3 linked regions of the Drosophila melanogaster genome follow. The gene in region 2 interacts genetically with the main gene of each other region. Each region holds a gene or a part of one and is shown on either strand. Other genes may lie near its edges.

Region 1 (4,915 bases), on a different chromosome or scaffold from region 2:
TTAAACCAAAGGGTTTTGGCTCAGTTGGCAGCTGAATGCGGCCAAAGGGGTTGGTCAGGGGGACTGGAGCAGGTCGAAAGTTGTGGAGGATGAGGGGGGGGGGGGTGCCAGGAGGAGCAGCAATCTGCAGCGCATGTACAGCAATTAGAGCAAGACAGACTGCTGTGGCTGTGGATGTGGGCACGTCCTTGGGGAAGGGGTAGGGTGCTGGTGGGCGCCGGAGGGTGGCGACGGGTCTGGTTGGCTCGTTCGCTGGCTATATGCGTTCAAACATATATACCGTGTACCTCTGTGTGCTCCGGGATAAAACAACTGGCAAGGGACTTGGGCCAAAAGCAAAGCAAACAGAAGCAGCCGAGACAAACAAATGCAGTGAGGACAGTGAACGTCCGCTGGAATGATCGATCACTATAAAAACTGATCTACGACAGTGCGATATATTCTCAACATTTTTCCAATCAGATTTCAAAAACCAGCTTAACTCAAGTAATCACCTCTTTAAAATGAATATTATTATATTGTATTTGGCTAGGATAGATAGATACTAGATACTTAATTAATTAATCATTTACATTGAAGTCATTTAATTAGGCTCAAAAGATAAAAATAAGAATTCGCTATTAGCATCTGAAATGCATTCCTCAACGAAAACATAGTTCTCACTCCCAAATCAATTCTAACTCCGCAATATTTCATCCACACCTCCGCCTGTTAATGGATTGCAACATTTTTGTTGACACACAAAATAAAATCAAAACGAATGACCTTGCAACAAGGGAAATGTTGAAAATCTGTGGCCAAAAACATGTGTTTCCATCAACCACCCTCTCGCACAAATAGAAACATCAACATGTTGTTGCCAAAAAAAAAAAAAAAAAAAAAGTTGGTATGAATTACGAAAAATAAACAGCCACAACATTAACCCTTATCAGCAGGGTAGGCGAATGAAAAAATAAAAACAAAAGGTGCAGATAAAAACGGACAAAAAAGGACACAAACAAAGGCCAAGGAAAATAGACCTGAAAAATGTTACAAAAATGGGGAGAGATTTAGCTAATAAAGGCTCCCGCTCCCAGGAGTTGGCAAAGAGATGTTGACCGGGCCGAGGGAAATGTGAAAGCGCAGGCGCCAAAAAACTCGGAATGCATTGGCCAAAGCGGACACGGCGATACATAACACGGCTCGTAGGACCACTTACCCACCCTCCCCAATCAGAAATGCTCTGGCTGCAGCAGAGGAAAAGCAGCGCAGCTTGTGTGGGAGGGGCAACTCGCATTTCTCAGGATGCATTTCTGAGCTGCAGCTGCACCAACTGCAGTTCTACAGTGGAAACCCCTTAGCGGGGATTCTATCGAACTTTTGCGTGAGTGGTTTGAGTCTCTGCCAGGGGTTCCGTCGCTCATGCCGAGCAACAAGTGTGAGGAAAAAAAAACTTGGAATAATAACGAATAAATCCGGGTAAATAAACGATAATCAAATCTATTTCTTTATCAAGAAAACAAATTGTGAATCGTATTATTATATCATAGGGATAAGGATAATTTAGATAACAAATATGTGCATTTTGAGAGGAATTAAAGTTATTTTCTTTGCACGTAAACAAAAGCATAAGCATTTCACAAATCAATCACTGTAAAGCTGCGGTACTTGTAAAACACTTGAGTAGTCAAAAGCTGGCATAAGTATATCAAATTTCCAGTAATTGATGATACAAATAAATATTATTAACATATTTTATAAAAAATGATTCTTTGAATAGATTAGCAACACTATTACGGACTATATAATTTAAATTACATTTGTAGAAATAGAAATTGTATGGTCATAGTTTTGATAACATTCAAAACGATGCCGCCCCCTGAAAAATAGTTGTCATCCTCAATTCAATGATGCACCATAGACCCATAGCCCCATACCCCGCCCATGGTCTTAACCCACATGTTGCCCCTGAGTCGCATGGCCTTAACCCTAACCTAGCGCAACTTTTGTCGACTGAATTCGTTTAACTCGTGTGCGGGGGAAAAAACGCCAAAACTAAACTCAGCGTGTGTGCACGAAAGAGAGGGGCGAGCGCTAAGAGGGAGTATGAGAGGGAGAGAAAAACACATGGTTCCAGGCCACGCGAATCTGCGATATAAAATGCATCCTTAGAAATTACAGAAGAAAACAATTGCAGATAAAAAAAACAGCAACAACAACAAAATGGGTGGACGAGGAAAGAGCGAAAGGCGCAAGAAAAGGAGAAACAACAATTATTGAATGAGTTGGCTACTGCTCCTTCTTCTCATTATTATTCTCCTTCATCAGCTTCTGCAGCCGCTTTGTTTTTGTTTTATGCATGTGTGTGTGGGTAAATGTGAGTGTGTCAAAATTTAGCAACAAAGAAATTTATATTAAGTCATGCTATTGACGGCAACAACAAAAAAGCCAGCTAACTTAAACTTACCATTTTGATTCTCCTGCTTACTGCTAACGGTGGTTGTTCTTGATGTTCGTCCCTCCGATGGTTCTTGTTGTTGTTGTTAACCACAAAAAAAAAATCAACAGACCGCGCACCCACGCGTTTTTCGTTCTTTTCTTGGTTTTTTTTTGTGTTTTGTTTAAAATTTATATATTAATTTCTTTTTAACAATGCGTTTTTGATGCTGTCAACGGAACAGAACAATTGTGCGGCAAGTTAGATAGCAAATGCAGCAAATATAAAAGGCTGGACTCCGCAATTTTCAGCGCGTTAGAAATGTTTTTGTTGTTGTTGTTCTTCCTGTTGTTATTGGTGTTGCGATAATGACTGCATGCGTGTGTGCATGCGTGTGTGTTGTTGTTGTTGAGTGTGTTTTTCTTTTGTTGCTGCACGCGGTATTTCGCTTCGGATAAATTTGTTCGTATGCGTTGTACCGCGCAATACACGCAAAACGAGGAATCGGAATAAAGGAGGAAGGAAACGAGAACGAGACGAGAATGAAGCGACGAAGCCGAAAACACACGTAACATGCCAACTATCGCAACTAACGAGATGCCAACTAGATAGAGCTGGAAAAACATCGATGAGAATCGATAATGGTGAAGCGAGAAAACGTCAGTTTGACGATTATTGATAAGAATGCCGATGTATACTAAAACTTATATTTGGGCACACTTATTTATAGCGTGTTTGCTCTAAAAATATTAATAGCTTAATATTACTTATAATATATATATATGGAAAATATTTTAAAAATATAGATATTTAAATGAAAACATTTTAAATTGCACAAAGGGAGACATAATAAACTTACTTGGTATTTAAACAAATCTATCGGTCTGGCACGCGGTGCACACAAGACTATCGATAAATGGCGCGCGTCTTATTTCTTTATATTTCATGATATATATCCGTTAAATTCTAATCACGTTACAACAAAGTATATGCAAGTTTAACATGGTAAATGAGAAGCGAGCTTCAGCTGTTGCATTTAAATAAATGATGCCAACTGCAATGTACATTAATGCATTTAAATATGTTTTGCCAACTTTAATGTTCAGCTAATTTGTTTATGAAACTGAAAGTAATTAGAAGACTTTCAATCTAAAAAAAGTATAGAAAAAATATATATTGACATTCAAGATATTTAAGATACTTGTGGGGTATTAATTTGCAAAATTTCTGCAAACTTCGACGCTATCGATAAGCATCGATTATTCTTTTTCTTCCACCTCTAGCACCACATGCGTGTTGTTGCTTGGGCATCAAAATTTGTCGGTAAGTCTGGTTTTCCCGCTTTCAATTTCGCAATCCGCCGACACAAGTCCCTAAAAGTCCGCCGATTTCAGACGGTCCGCGTTGCTGATTGTTATTGAGAAGATAAGGAACGAGAAGAACCGGTACTACGCCAGGAGACAGGACTCAGGATCAAAGGCTTCCACGGACACGAAAAGGAATCCACATAGCTAACGAAATGCCTAACGACACTGTGGTAAAGGTGCAGGAGTACAAGGACTCGTTGATCCTCAAGGCAGAGCTGCTAATCACCAAGGGGTTCCCGGAGAATATCGTCCGGCTGAACGAGCTGCTGGCCACGCCGATCTTCAACGAGCGCAACTTCGAAGAAGTGCACCAGGACCTCAACATCCCGGTCCTGCCGCCTCTCCTGGTTAAAAACGAGTTGGAGGATCGTGACAGTCTGCCCACCAAGCGCCAGCGCGTGGATGTCATCGTCTCTGGGCAGCCTGTCATGGGTCTGCCCGCCGGTACAGTGCCGTGCAACAAGCCGCTCTGCGAGATGATCAAGGTCGTCAAGCCTATCATCAGGAAGCTTGTGGAGGATTGTAAGTACACCGTATATTCAAGCGTCTCAACCTAATAAATGTTTTTATGCTATTCAAGAGCCCCTTCAATTTTCCTAAAACAATGAATTCCAAGAATTTTTACATTCGAACGGTACAAATGCCAGTAGCTAAAGTTTTGCCTGACATTAAGCTTTTTAATGAATACCTAGTAATTTCTGAATTGATTTCTTTTGCAGCCAATCTACTTAAGATGTGGATCTCCTTTATGATACCCAAGATCGAGGATGGCAACAACTTTGGCGTCTCCATTCAAGAGGACACGCTTGCCGAAATTCAAACTGTGGAATCCGAGGCGGCCGCCTTCTTTGACCAGATATCGCGCTATTTCTTGTCGCGCGCCAAGGTGGTGTCCAAGGTGGCCAAGTATCCGCACATCGATGATTATCGGCGCGCAGTCGTCGAACTTGACGAGAAGGAGTACCTCAGCTTGTGGCTGGTCGTTTGTGAGGTCCGCAATCGCTACTCCTCGCTGCACGACATTGTTATTAAGAACCTCGAGAAGCTAAAGAAGCCGCGCTCCTCAAATACCGAAAGCCTGTATTAGGCTAGGTATTTCCGAAGCCCGAGCCTCAACTTTTTTTTTTCCTTT
Region 2 (4,947 bases):
ATTGGGTGTTGACTTGATTGGTTTCGTTTTCTGGGGTCTCCTGTCTGGTCTCCTCCTGGTCTCATGCATATGCAAATGTCCCTCGTTCGATGCAAATTAATGAAGACCGATTTTTATTGTACAAATTTCAACAACTTTATTTCGCGTGAAGAGAGTTCTGGCCATGTTATTCTCAGCCCTTTGCCTTGCTGACCCATTTATCAGACCATTTCAATGAACTGCTGTTTTCGAGTGATTTACAATGTTTGATCAAAAAATCGAATCAAATTAATCTTGCTCTTTTCGTTAAGTAATTGGATCAATTTTTAACGAAAGTTTGGATCCAGAGACCACCGAAGAATCTAATGATTTGTTAGGAATAATAATAAAATAAATAGGTGTACAGACTTAGCATTTTTACCTTAAGATTTTTACAGAATAGAATGGAAGTACAAATTGGAAAATCAGGCCAGCTATTTAAAATTGTAAAGCCAAAATGAAATCGTAGTAGGCGAACACATCATATTCAATCTATTTTCATAAAAATATTTAGTTTAGCTCGATTCGGCATCGTCGGCAGTCCTATATCAACTAGAAAATATTTGGATTCAAAAAAAAAATTTTATTTTTATTTTTTTTAATATTCGTTGAAAATAAATGCAAGTATTAAAAATTATTACTATTACACAAAATGCTTAGAACAAAATTTATTGATTTTGAAATATTGTTTGGTTATATAGTTATTTATCGTTTATTTCAATAGAGATTCTAGTTCATTTGGTTATTGTGGAGCAAACATATGCAACGCAGTGAAGATGTTATCACAAGATGGTATTTCCGAGCCAATGGATCTTTGAGGCAGAGGCTTGTAAATATTTGTACATTCTGATCATATTTAATGAGATTCCAAACCTTTAGCTAGATGGTATCTTCAGCAATTTCCACCGAGCAGCTTGGACAATTAATATGTAGTTTATGGATCCTCTTTCAATGAATTTAGTATGCCCAAACTCGAAGGAGTTTCACCTCCATAAGAGCGACAGTCCTGGAGAAGTTATCAGAGCCAAAAAAATTCATATGATGATGCATTTTCCGTCTCTGAAAACGTCTTCAGCAGAAGTTGTTTTTAGCGAAGTGAAACTCATTCGATTTTGATCATACTAACGACATTGGATGCTTGGATCGGCAGTTTGGTGGAATATAAATACCAAGACCCTAAGACTGATGACGTACCTGCTAATGAAGATGATGGAGATATACTTGCATGCCAATTCAATAAGTTATAAGCACCCAATATAATAAAATTCAAATATTTATATTAAATACAAATATCCATCTTTAATTTTATTTTTGGTTCTCATCTTGGCAACAATAAATGTTGCTAAGCATTTTGCTTTCAACTTTCGCGTGAGCTGAATCGGTAAATTGAGCGAACCGGGAATCAAATGTTGCTAACGAAATGCTTACAAGCCGGTATCCAACTGGTATCTGAAACTGCTAGCAAAACGGGGAATCAAATGTTGCTAACGTAAACGAATTGAATTGATTTGTTTTATTTTAGATATAAAAATAAAAGTAGAATATCTAGAAATAAAAAATCCGAATTTTGAAGATTATTTAGAGACAATCTTGGAAATTTGTACAAATAAACACCCGTCCGGTTGAAGTTAAACAATATAATAAATTCTTATATCAAAATAAACTTGGTAATGTATATTGAAATTTTAAATAGTTTTTAAAATGTGTAAGTTGACTATTTATTCAAAACGGTTTGTTGCATTGCATCTGCTGAAATGCACTAATTTTGCCACGGAACTCGTTTTGAGAGCGAAAGAGAGAAATGAGAGAGCGAGTACGTTTCGTGGTATTTTTTAGTACGATTCGCGGCGGTGAAGGTGAATAGTGTTTTGGTCGTGGACATGAACGGCATTACGTTTTTCAACTCGGCCGCGCGAATAACTCGAAAAAGGCAGCTCCGCAGCCAAGGCATTTTGAAAAACACAAGTCCCCGACTCGAAACGCGACCAAATATTCGGTGTGTGACGCGAACTGCCAATGCAATAGTTCACTTAAGAATTGCAGATTACCGCGACTCTGGGCAGTTCTCATTCGATATTTGAATGTACCAAAAGAAAAGTGCCAGAACCAGAAATCAAAATAAAAGATCTTCTAACAGAATAACAAGAAGTGTTTCCTCCGAAAGATTAAAAAATCGCGAATGATTAAGAATCGCGGCACCGTTAGTTCCCTCTCTCGCTTTTCCCTTTTGCGCTTTTCTGCGTGAAAAGGAGAAGACTCCGCAGTTCGCGAAAAGAGCTTTTATTTCGCGACACTTAAAAATAAACACAGTCGAGGAAATTGCAACAAAAAATGTGGCGCGTGCACGTGTAGCTTGCAACAACGACAACAAGAAAACAACGAAAATGCTAAAAGCGAATTGCAAAACCATGTGCGACAAGTAACCAAAAAAAAAATTCAAAACATAAACACAATAAACAATTTGAGTAGTTGCCGCACACACACACACACACACACAGCCCGTGGATTATTACACTAAAAGCGACACTCAATCCAAAAAATCAGCAACAAAAACATCAATAAACATGCATTGGATTAAATGTTTATTAACAGCATTCATTTGCTTCACAGTCATCGTGCAGGTGAGTTTCAGTCCCAGGAAAAGCGCTCATTTTCCATCCAACAAGTTGTATTTTTTGGCAATTTATTTTCTTTATTTCTACGCGCACGCGTGCACTCACCGCTGAATTTTGCAGCTGGTGTGTTGTGCGCGCATGTGTGTGTGTGGGGCCAAAAGGGAAGAAACGATTGAAGGGTTGCCAGGTTACTAAATATTTTAAAACTTTTGGGGTTCCGTATGATCATCTCAAAATATCTATTTTGAAACCACTCCAACATCGCGTTTGCTTCCAAACTTATTTTTCAAGCTGGTAACCCGAGAACTTTTGGGTAGAAACAGCTGAGTTGATATTTTAAGCGGGTTGGCTTTTAGGGGTGGAAATTGTGGATCGGATCGTATCACCCTTTTCGGAACATGCATACATATTTCATAGAGCAAAACTAGTTTGGAAACATGCGAGGCCAATGCCCAAACAGGTCCATCCCCAAAAAATGGTTTAATTCTAGTACACAGCGGAAAAATATGAGGCATACGTTAGAAGAAATACCTTCAAGATAATTTTTGACATGCAGATCAGTTCAACTTCTTAGAAATCCTACTATGTGTACTAATTGTTCTCCGTGTAAAAACAGAGATGATCCAAGTCTGCCTCAACGTCAAAATTTACCACCAACGGCGTATGCATCCAGAGCAGCAGCAAAAAATGATAAAACTGCTCGATTTCAATATGAGGCTATATAGTAATGCTGTGCTACAAGCCCATGCTAAAAAGTTGATGATGCTGGGCAACATCTGCCGTTTTCGCCGTCATCTCCTCCTCTGTCCCTCCGCTTTGCATGCGCTTTTTACATGCGATTTTTTTCGGTTTACTTTTCGCTCTGCGTAGGTCAACGCGACACATGCTCAGCCTCACTTGCTCTCCCCTCCTTGCGTTGTTTCTCTTCTGTCATGCTTTCATTGATCTTTAACGCCAGCATCCCCTGGTTACACGGATAAAAAAAAGAGTTGTGCAGGGTTTCCAAACAGTGCGATCTCTAGAAAATAACACTAAATATTTTGTTGTTAATGTGTGGGTTAGTTTCAAAGATAAGAAAATATTAAATTATAATAAATCTTGACCATACATAGTATGTGTACATAGTATACATTTCATAGTTCAGAACTATTTAGCTACGAAGAAATTACAACTTAGATCCACAATATTAAGCTGATAGGGAGCTCTTTATTGATAATAGTACCCATTTACTCACCGTGCACCCTGCATGTGCTCCAATCCTCTACCGCTCTCCGCACTTCTTGATTTTCTCCCAACTTTGGCACGTTGCGTGCTTAAACTTCACTCTTCGACCAGCTTCTTTTTGCAGTCTGCTATTTAGTCGCTAATTTTAACAACGTCCCAAAAAAGTGTCTCGACGCCAACCTCCTGGGGTCTTGGGACTGCTGAAAATGCTCCCCGTATGTAGGCAGAAACATCTGCCCAATAATTCTGACTCATTTCCTTACTTACTTACAGGGAAAGGTGGAATAGTTTAATTTGTCATTTAAAATAATATCTCGGGCAATTAGCTTGCCATTAGCAATGCAATTTAATTCAATTTTCTGCCCATTCTATAAGGTATTATTCTCACAATTTCTTGGCCCTTTCTTGTCCCATGCTGCGTTTAAATTTCAATTTAACTATCAAATAACCGTAGTCGCCTTGTTTTCGCATTTATGCAATTTTCATATTAACATTGAGCGTCGAAGAAGTGAGTGAGTGAGCGAGTGAGTGAATGAATGAATGAATGAATGAAGACTGGGACTCGTGGGGGAGCACTCGTAGTCTTCTCGGCTCTGCTCTTTCTTCGCATAACATAATTAATTGCAATTTAGAAGCCAAAGAGGAAGACGACGACTACTCCCACACAATGCGATGGATGATTCACTTGCGCTTGTAACTGTTTCCCAAGCCCGTTGTTAACGGTTGATTATGATGATGAATTTAAATGATTAATAAACAACATGCAGGGTAGGGGCACCAAAGCAAACACCTGTAGGAAAGTCGAGGAAAAGTCGGGGAAAATTATAATAAAAATGCGTGCTTTCATACATTTTTATGTCCCCTTGTGTTGTTTTAACTTCTTCCCTGCTTTTTTTTCTACAACAACTGTCTGTCAGTCAAGGCAAGTTGACGTGGAAATGGCAAAAAATGAAAAGAAACGAAGAACTAACTAACTAGTCGCTTCAAGCCTCAGTGATCGCAGTAAAAATAGGAGTAGTGGCCAGTAAAGAGAAAGAAAACGAGAAACGGAGACAAAGAATGGCTCAAGCAAAAGGTAAACAATGCAACG
Region 3 (4,788 bases), on a different chromosome or scaffold from region 2:
CTTTTGGCTGGCCTTTGACGCAATTGGAGTTACCAGGGAAATTGAATTTTTTAAATTTGCATCGGGCAAACAAACAAGATGGAAAGCGGAAACAGCGCTAACAAAAGCAAGAACATAAATCCTGCCCGAGATGCAAAAACAAAAACACGGCAAAATGACAGAGAAAATGGAATTTATTAAATAGCATTCCGCGCAATAAACTCTTGCAGCAAAAAAAAAAAAAAAAACGAGCACAGCAACAAAAATCCACACACACACACACACACACACACACACACACACACGATCGCATAATCAAATAAAACAACTTGGACATGCAATTTTATGGCAGGACGTCGTTTTCCTTTTGGGCACCCTTCTCCTCGATTCCATTTCAGTGGCCCCCAGTTCAACGTAAACAGACGCAAAAACAATGGGGAACGAGTATAAAATGGTATATGTACGAATCGGAATTAAGAATACCCTATCGGATACGCACAGTATCAATCATCTATGGATGTGCGATGAATCGAAATATACAAGGAATAAGGAACATCTTATGGAGATCAAAAAACCGAATGGTTTTAAAATGCTTAAAAGCATGCAACATTTGGAGTTTGAAATCAAATAAGTTCATATATGTTTTATGTTTTTATTTAGAGTATTTCACCATTTTAACGAAGTTATAAGCCCTATTGCTAGGGTATTCAAAAATGGGATTAAGCCGAGAGGAGAATCGCAAAAAGACCGCTCAACATTTTTTCCATTAAGGGCGCCCAAAAAATAAAAAAATAAAAAAAACCGGACAGCTAAGAGGGGCTCAGGGATTTGCGGAGCTGGCCATCAGCGCATTCAGGTTTTTGGGACCTGCTGGACACAAATTAAACCAAGTGAAGCCAAATAAAAAGGTTAAATTAATAACCGTAGTCGCTCTTTAAAGTTCAAGCCAAATGCTATCTGTATGTATGTGTGTGTGTGTGTGTGTGTGTGAGTGCCTGTGCGAAATGCATATTTGAATATTGCATAAATCATCGCTTTTATTTCGATTTTTGTTTTATTCGCCATGCGGTTTGCTTTTGTTTTCTGCAAAAGCGCCTCATTAAATTACCATTTTAATGATTATTTAATTCCATCAGTTGGACAAATATAATAATTGAATATATATTTTATATATTATCTTTGCAGCCCAATAAGTTGTCAATGATAATATCTTAGGATTCTGCAATTACGTTCGATGGCAAACTTCAGCATTTGTATTTAAAATCTCATAAATTATTAAAGACTTTTAAATTTTATCTACATATGATGTAAGGTAGATTCTATTGAGATTTTCCGTATCAAAACCTAATATTTTGAGTAGCATTTTGTAAATGCCGTAAAAAACGTCTTACTTTCGTCATGCCTTCACTTAAAAAGCGTCAATATCAGTATCATTCAGATTTGCTGTACAGCACTTGAAATTCCTCGATTGCTAGGAATTGTGCAATCTTTTATTGCATTTTTTTAGAAATAGTTAGGTCGCGGCGGATATTTGTGATGGAAACCACACGAAACCAAACTGTCTGGTCTGAATTGATTTAAATTAATTGAATTTTAAAGCGAACCGGTAATCGGCAACCGGTTTCAACCGATTCAAGGCGAACCGTCCAATTGAGCAAACGGTATTTGAATGTTTTAACTGATTGATGTCAGTCGATATGGCCTGATTGTTCCGATACTGACCTGTGCTCCGGGTGCTTCGGCCTATTCCAGTTGACTCCGATTAATCCAACTCATGTGCCTGTTTTTGTGGCGGAATTATTGGGCGGAAGAGGGGATTTACGGGAATTAAAGCCGATTTGGGCGGATCGAAGGGACTTAACTTCGGGGCAAACACATTTGGTTTCAGGCACTTGTCTAGACTTTCCTCGGCGTTTCTCGGTGTTTCTTTCGGTTATCACACTCTTTATTCTAAATTTCTTCACTTGCTTTTGAAGCTATTAAGAGCACTAGTGGATTTTCAAATTTTGAATTGAGCATTCACGGTATTCTTCATGGTTTTCTTATAAGTTTCACTTTACCCATGTTAAGCTGGTAAAAATAGGGTTTCGATTTTATGTTTCAGTTGTGGCTGAACAATCTAGAAAGAATTTCAAAATTTTCGGTCACTATTACAGGTTTAAAATAAGAAAATGAATTTCGCGCAAGTTAGATTTTATTTTATTCTTATGTGTTTCAAACTTATAGTTGTGTTTATAAACTTTATCACATCGCTTTTAACAATTTCAAATTTTAATGGGCTAAATTTGATGCTTATCACTCTTAATTTCTGCCAGTGCATTTTGATCGCATTGTAAACATTTTTACAGAAACAAGAACAACAAATTGCGTTTCATTGCCACAGTGGTGGTCTCTGCGCCGTCGTCGGCAGCGACGTCGACGTCGGCTGCGAAAGGCGACACCATTTCACCGGCGACTATTAGCAGCAAGTGCGAGAGAAACGGACGATGGCGATCGCACAATTCCACACAACACACACACACACACATACGCATAGGCTGCAACTGTTGCAGCAGCCAAAACAACAACAAGACGGCTAAAAAGCGAGTGTTTTTTTTCGATTTTTTCGCGCTGCGACCTTGGAACCGTTAGCTTTTCAAGCTGAACTCTTGGACTGTTAAGTTGGCTGCCTTTTTAACACCTTAATAGCGCTTATCCAATTGTTTGCCTTTTGCTTTTGTTGCTTGTTGCTGCCGTCGCTGCTCTGCCGCTGTCGCTGCTGCTGCACTGCCTCTGCCGGCGTCAGCTGCTCGCCTGCGTGTGTGTGCGTGTGTCCGTGTGAGTTTCCGTTTGTTTTGTGTTGGGCCTTTTATTTTGTCGTGTTTTTTGTGCCCACCGTGCAATTGCAATATTTACGGATTATTCGCGGACCGTTGAGCGATATATGTGCGGTTTTTTGCGCGGAGTTGGATCGGCGGAGACGACGGAACAGCGATATATAATTGCAGCAGTTGCAAGAAGAAGAGCCAACCAGCAGTGGCTGCCAGTGTGTGCACACTGCGCAGCAGAATTGCCACCTGGCCGGCGGTGTTGCCACATCGCTGGATTTCGTGCTGCGATTGTCTGGAGTGTAAGAAGAAGAGCAGTGGATCAGCTGTTGCTCACAAGCGGCTCAAATTGAGTTATGTGCTAACGCGTTCGTGGAAGATTTGGGCGCGCAATTCAAAAATGTAACATAACGGGATTTAAAGATTTCAATTTAAATAAACTTTGAATCTATAATAATCTATTGTTCGAATTAAGCGTCGAAGTAAAGTTTTCAAATAGTATACTTTGCGTCACAACTCAACCCAAAATCAGAACATTGTAACAGAAATAATTAGGTCTGAAAATGAACTCAATAGTGATTTTTATTCTGCACTTTTTCTTGGGTAAGCAATTAACATATGTATAAAATAAATTCTACTAATGAATTTTCCCTGCCGGCTTAGGAATCACACTCGGAACAGCTATTCCCAACGAAATAAGTGTGAAAATGGCAGTGCCAAATAATTCTGTTACTATGAAAACCGAAGAGTTCCTGCTGCAAAACGAAAATATTCCCTTTGGTCTTCAGAGTATTCCGCATTACTTAAAACATCTCATTACAAATGTGGACAGGGATATCCCGGGAAAGAGAAAACCGAAGATTACTCAGTACTTCAAGCTGAGTCCAGAAATGGATAATTTGCAGATGATGCGGTTTCTTATCGAGACCTTTGGCAGATTCATTGGACTCATTACATAGGCGTAGTATGTTCTTTTTTGATATATTTTCCAGCTGTGAGAAGAATTCCAACGCGCTCATAAATAAGAAAATGAAAGGAGAAGACGATGAGGTTTTGATGATTTCAAATGAGAGGAACTTGATGAGATTTTTTGGTCAAGAGCATTTATTTCGAATTCAGTTTTGCAACGAGGCCAAAGGAGAAAAGAAATGAAGTATTAAAACTGATAAATGATAGAAGAATTCGTTAAGGAAGAACAAAGAAATATGCCACAGAAAGCTTTCAACTAAAGACGGCAAGAAACGAAGATTTGCTTTCCAAATAATAAACAACAGATAACAAGGTACATTTAAGGTTTTTTCATTGGTTTCTTTTATATGTATATATATATATATATATATTTATATATATATATAGATCTATGTATATATAGTATAACATTGTTAACATTTACTATTGACTATGTAATATCCGCTGCAGAGATACTTTTCGTGTTTCGTGTTCTGTTTCAGTTTCGGTTTATGTTTTTCTGTTTGATTTGCAGGTACTTAGTACTACTTTGCTCCTTGGGTTTGCGATTATTGTACGCTTGTCCTATATATACACACGCTATAACATATAGTTTTTTAATAGGTATCCATGGTTAGATATATGAGAATTTGGGGGGCTTCTTATATAGGTTCCTTTGGGTAGGGTGGAATACTAAAGAGTTTAGGCGTTAATAAATACATCTCGAGTTTTAGTTGGTAAAATTGCTAACATTTAGTAAGTAACTATGTTGTACATTCAAGGGCTACATCGTATAAGGTATCGCTGATCTATAACGATCGTAAATATATCTATGTGTATACAGTATACAGTGTGTATATGAATATGAAACAATCTGCAGTTATAGATTCTAGGCATAGGCTATGCAGTGAAGTCTTAGACGAGTTTAAATAGCACTTTCTCGAAGTTCGTACATCTATAAATAGTAAATATATGTATATATATATATATATTAGGTATATATATATATCGTGTATATGGCTACTCTGTAGATTAGAGTTACAGCTAGAGTTAG

What was found.
Region 1: of Delta (region 2) and sno, changing one suppresses a phenotype caused by changing the other (phenotypic suppression), as found in Drosophila melanogaster (2 studies listed by BioGRID).
Region 3: of Delta (region 2) and px, changing one enhances a phenotype caused by changing the other (phenotypic enhancement), as found in Drosophila melanogaster (2 studies listed by BioGRID).

The regions. Positions count from the first base shown.
Region 1 is NC_004354.4:13,208,654-13,213,568, forward strand, and holds the start of sno (strawberry notch), read right to left. Parts: upstream 3,022-4,915; 5' UTR 2,450-3,021; coding exon 2,447-2,449; intron 1-2,446. Other genes in the region: REG (proteasome regulator gamma), read left to right, coding at 3,936-4,305, 4,503-4,870. UniProt on the Drosophila melanogaster protein: Notch pathway component, may contribute to the specificity between lateral and inductive Notch signaling pathways in the wing disk. Required during many developmental stages including oogenesis, embryogenesis and imaginal development of the eye, wing and leg.
Region 2 is NT_033777.3:19,323,174-19,328,120, reverse strand, and holds the start of Delta (delta), read left to right. Parts: upstream 1-1,903; 5' UTR 1,904-2,582; coding exon 2,583-2,639; intron 2,640-4,947. UniProt on the Drosophila melanogaster protein: Acts as a ligand for Notch (N) receptor. Essential for proper differentiation of ectoderm. Delta is required for the correct separation of neural and epidermal cell lineages.
Region 3 is NT_033778.4:22,559,045-22,563,832, forward strand, and holds the start of px (plexus), read right to left. Parts: upstream 3,022-4,788; 5' UTR 2,875-3,021; exon of another isoform or gene 2,855-2,874; intron 2,099-2,854; 5' UTR 1,702-2,098; intron 1-1,701. Other genes in the region: CG11362 (uncharacterized protein), read left to right, coding at 3,350-3,389, 3,450-3,745.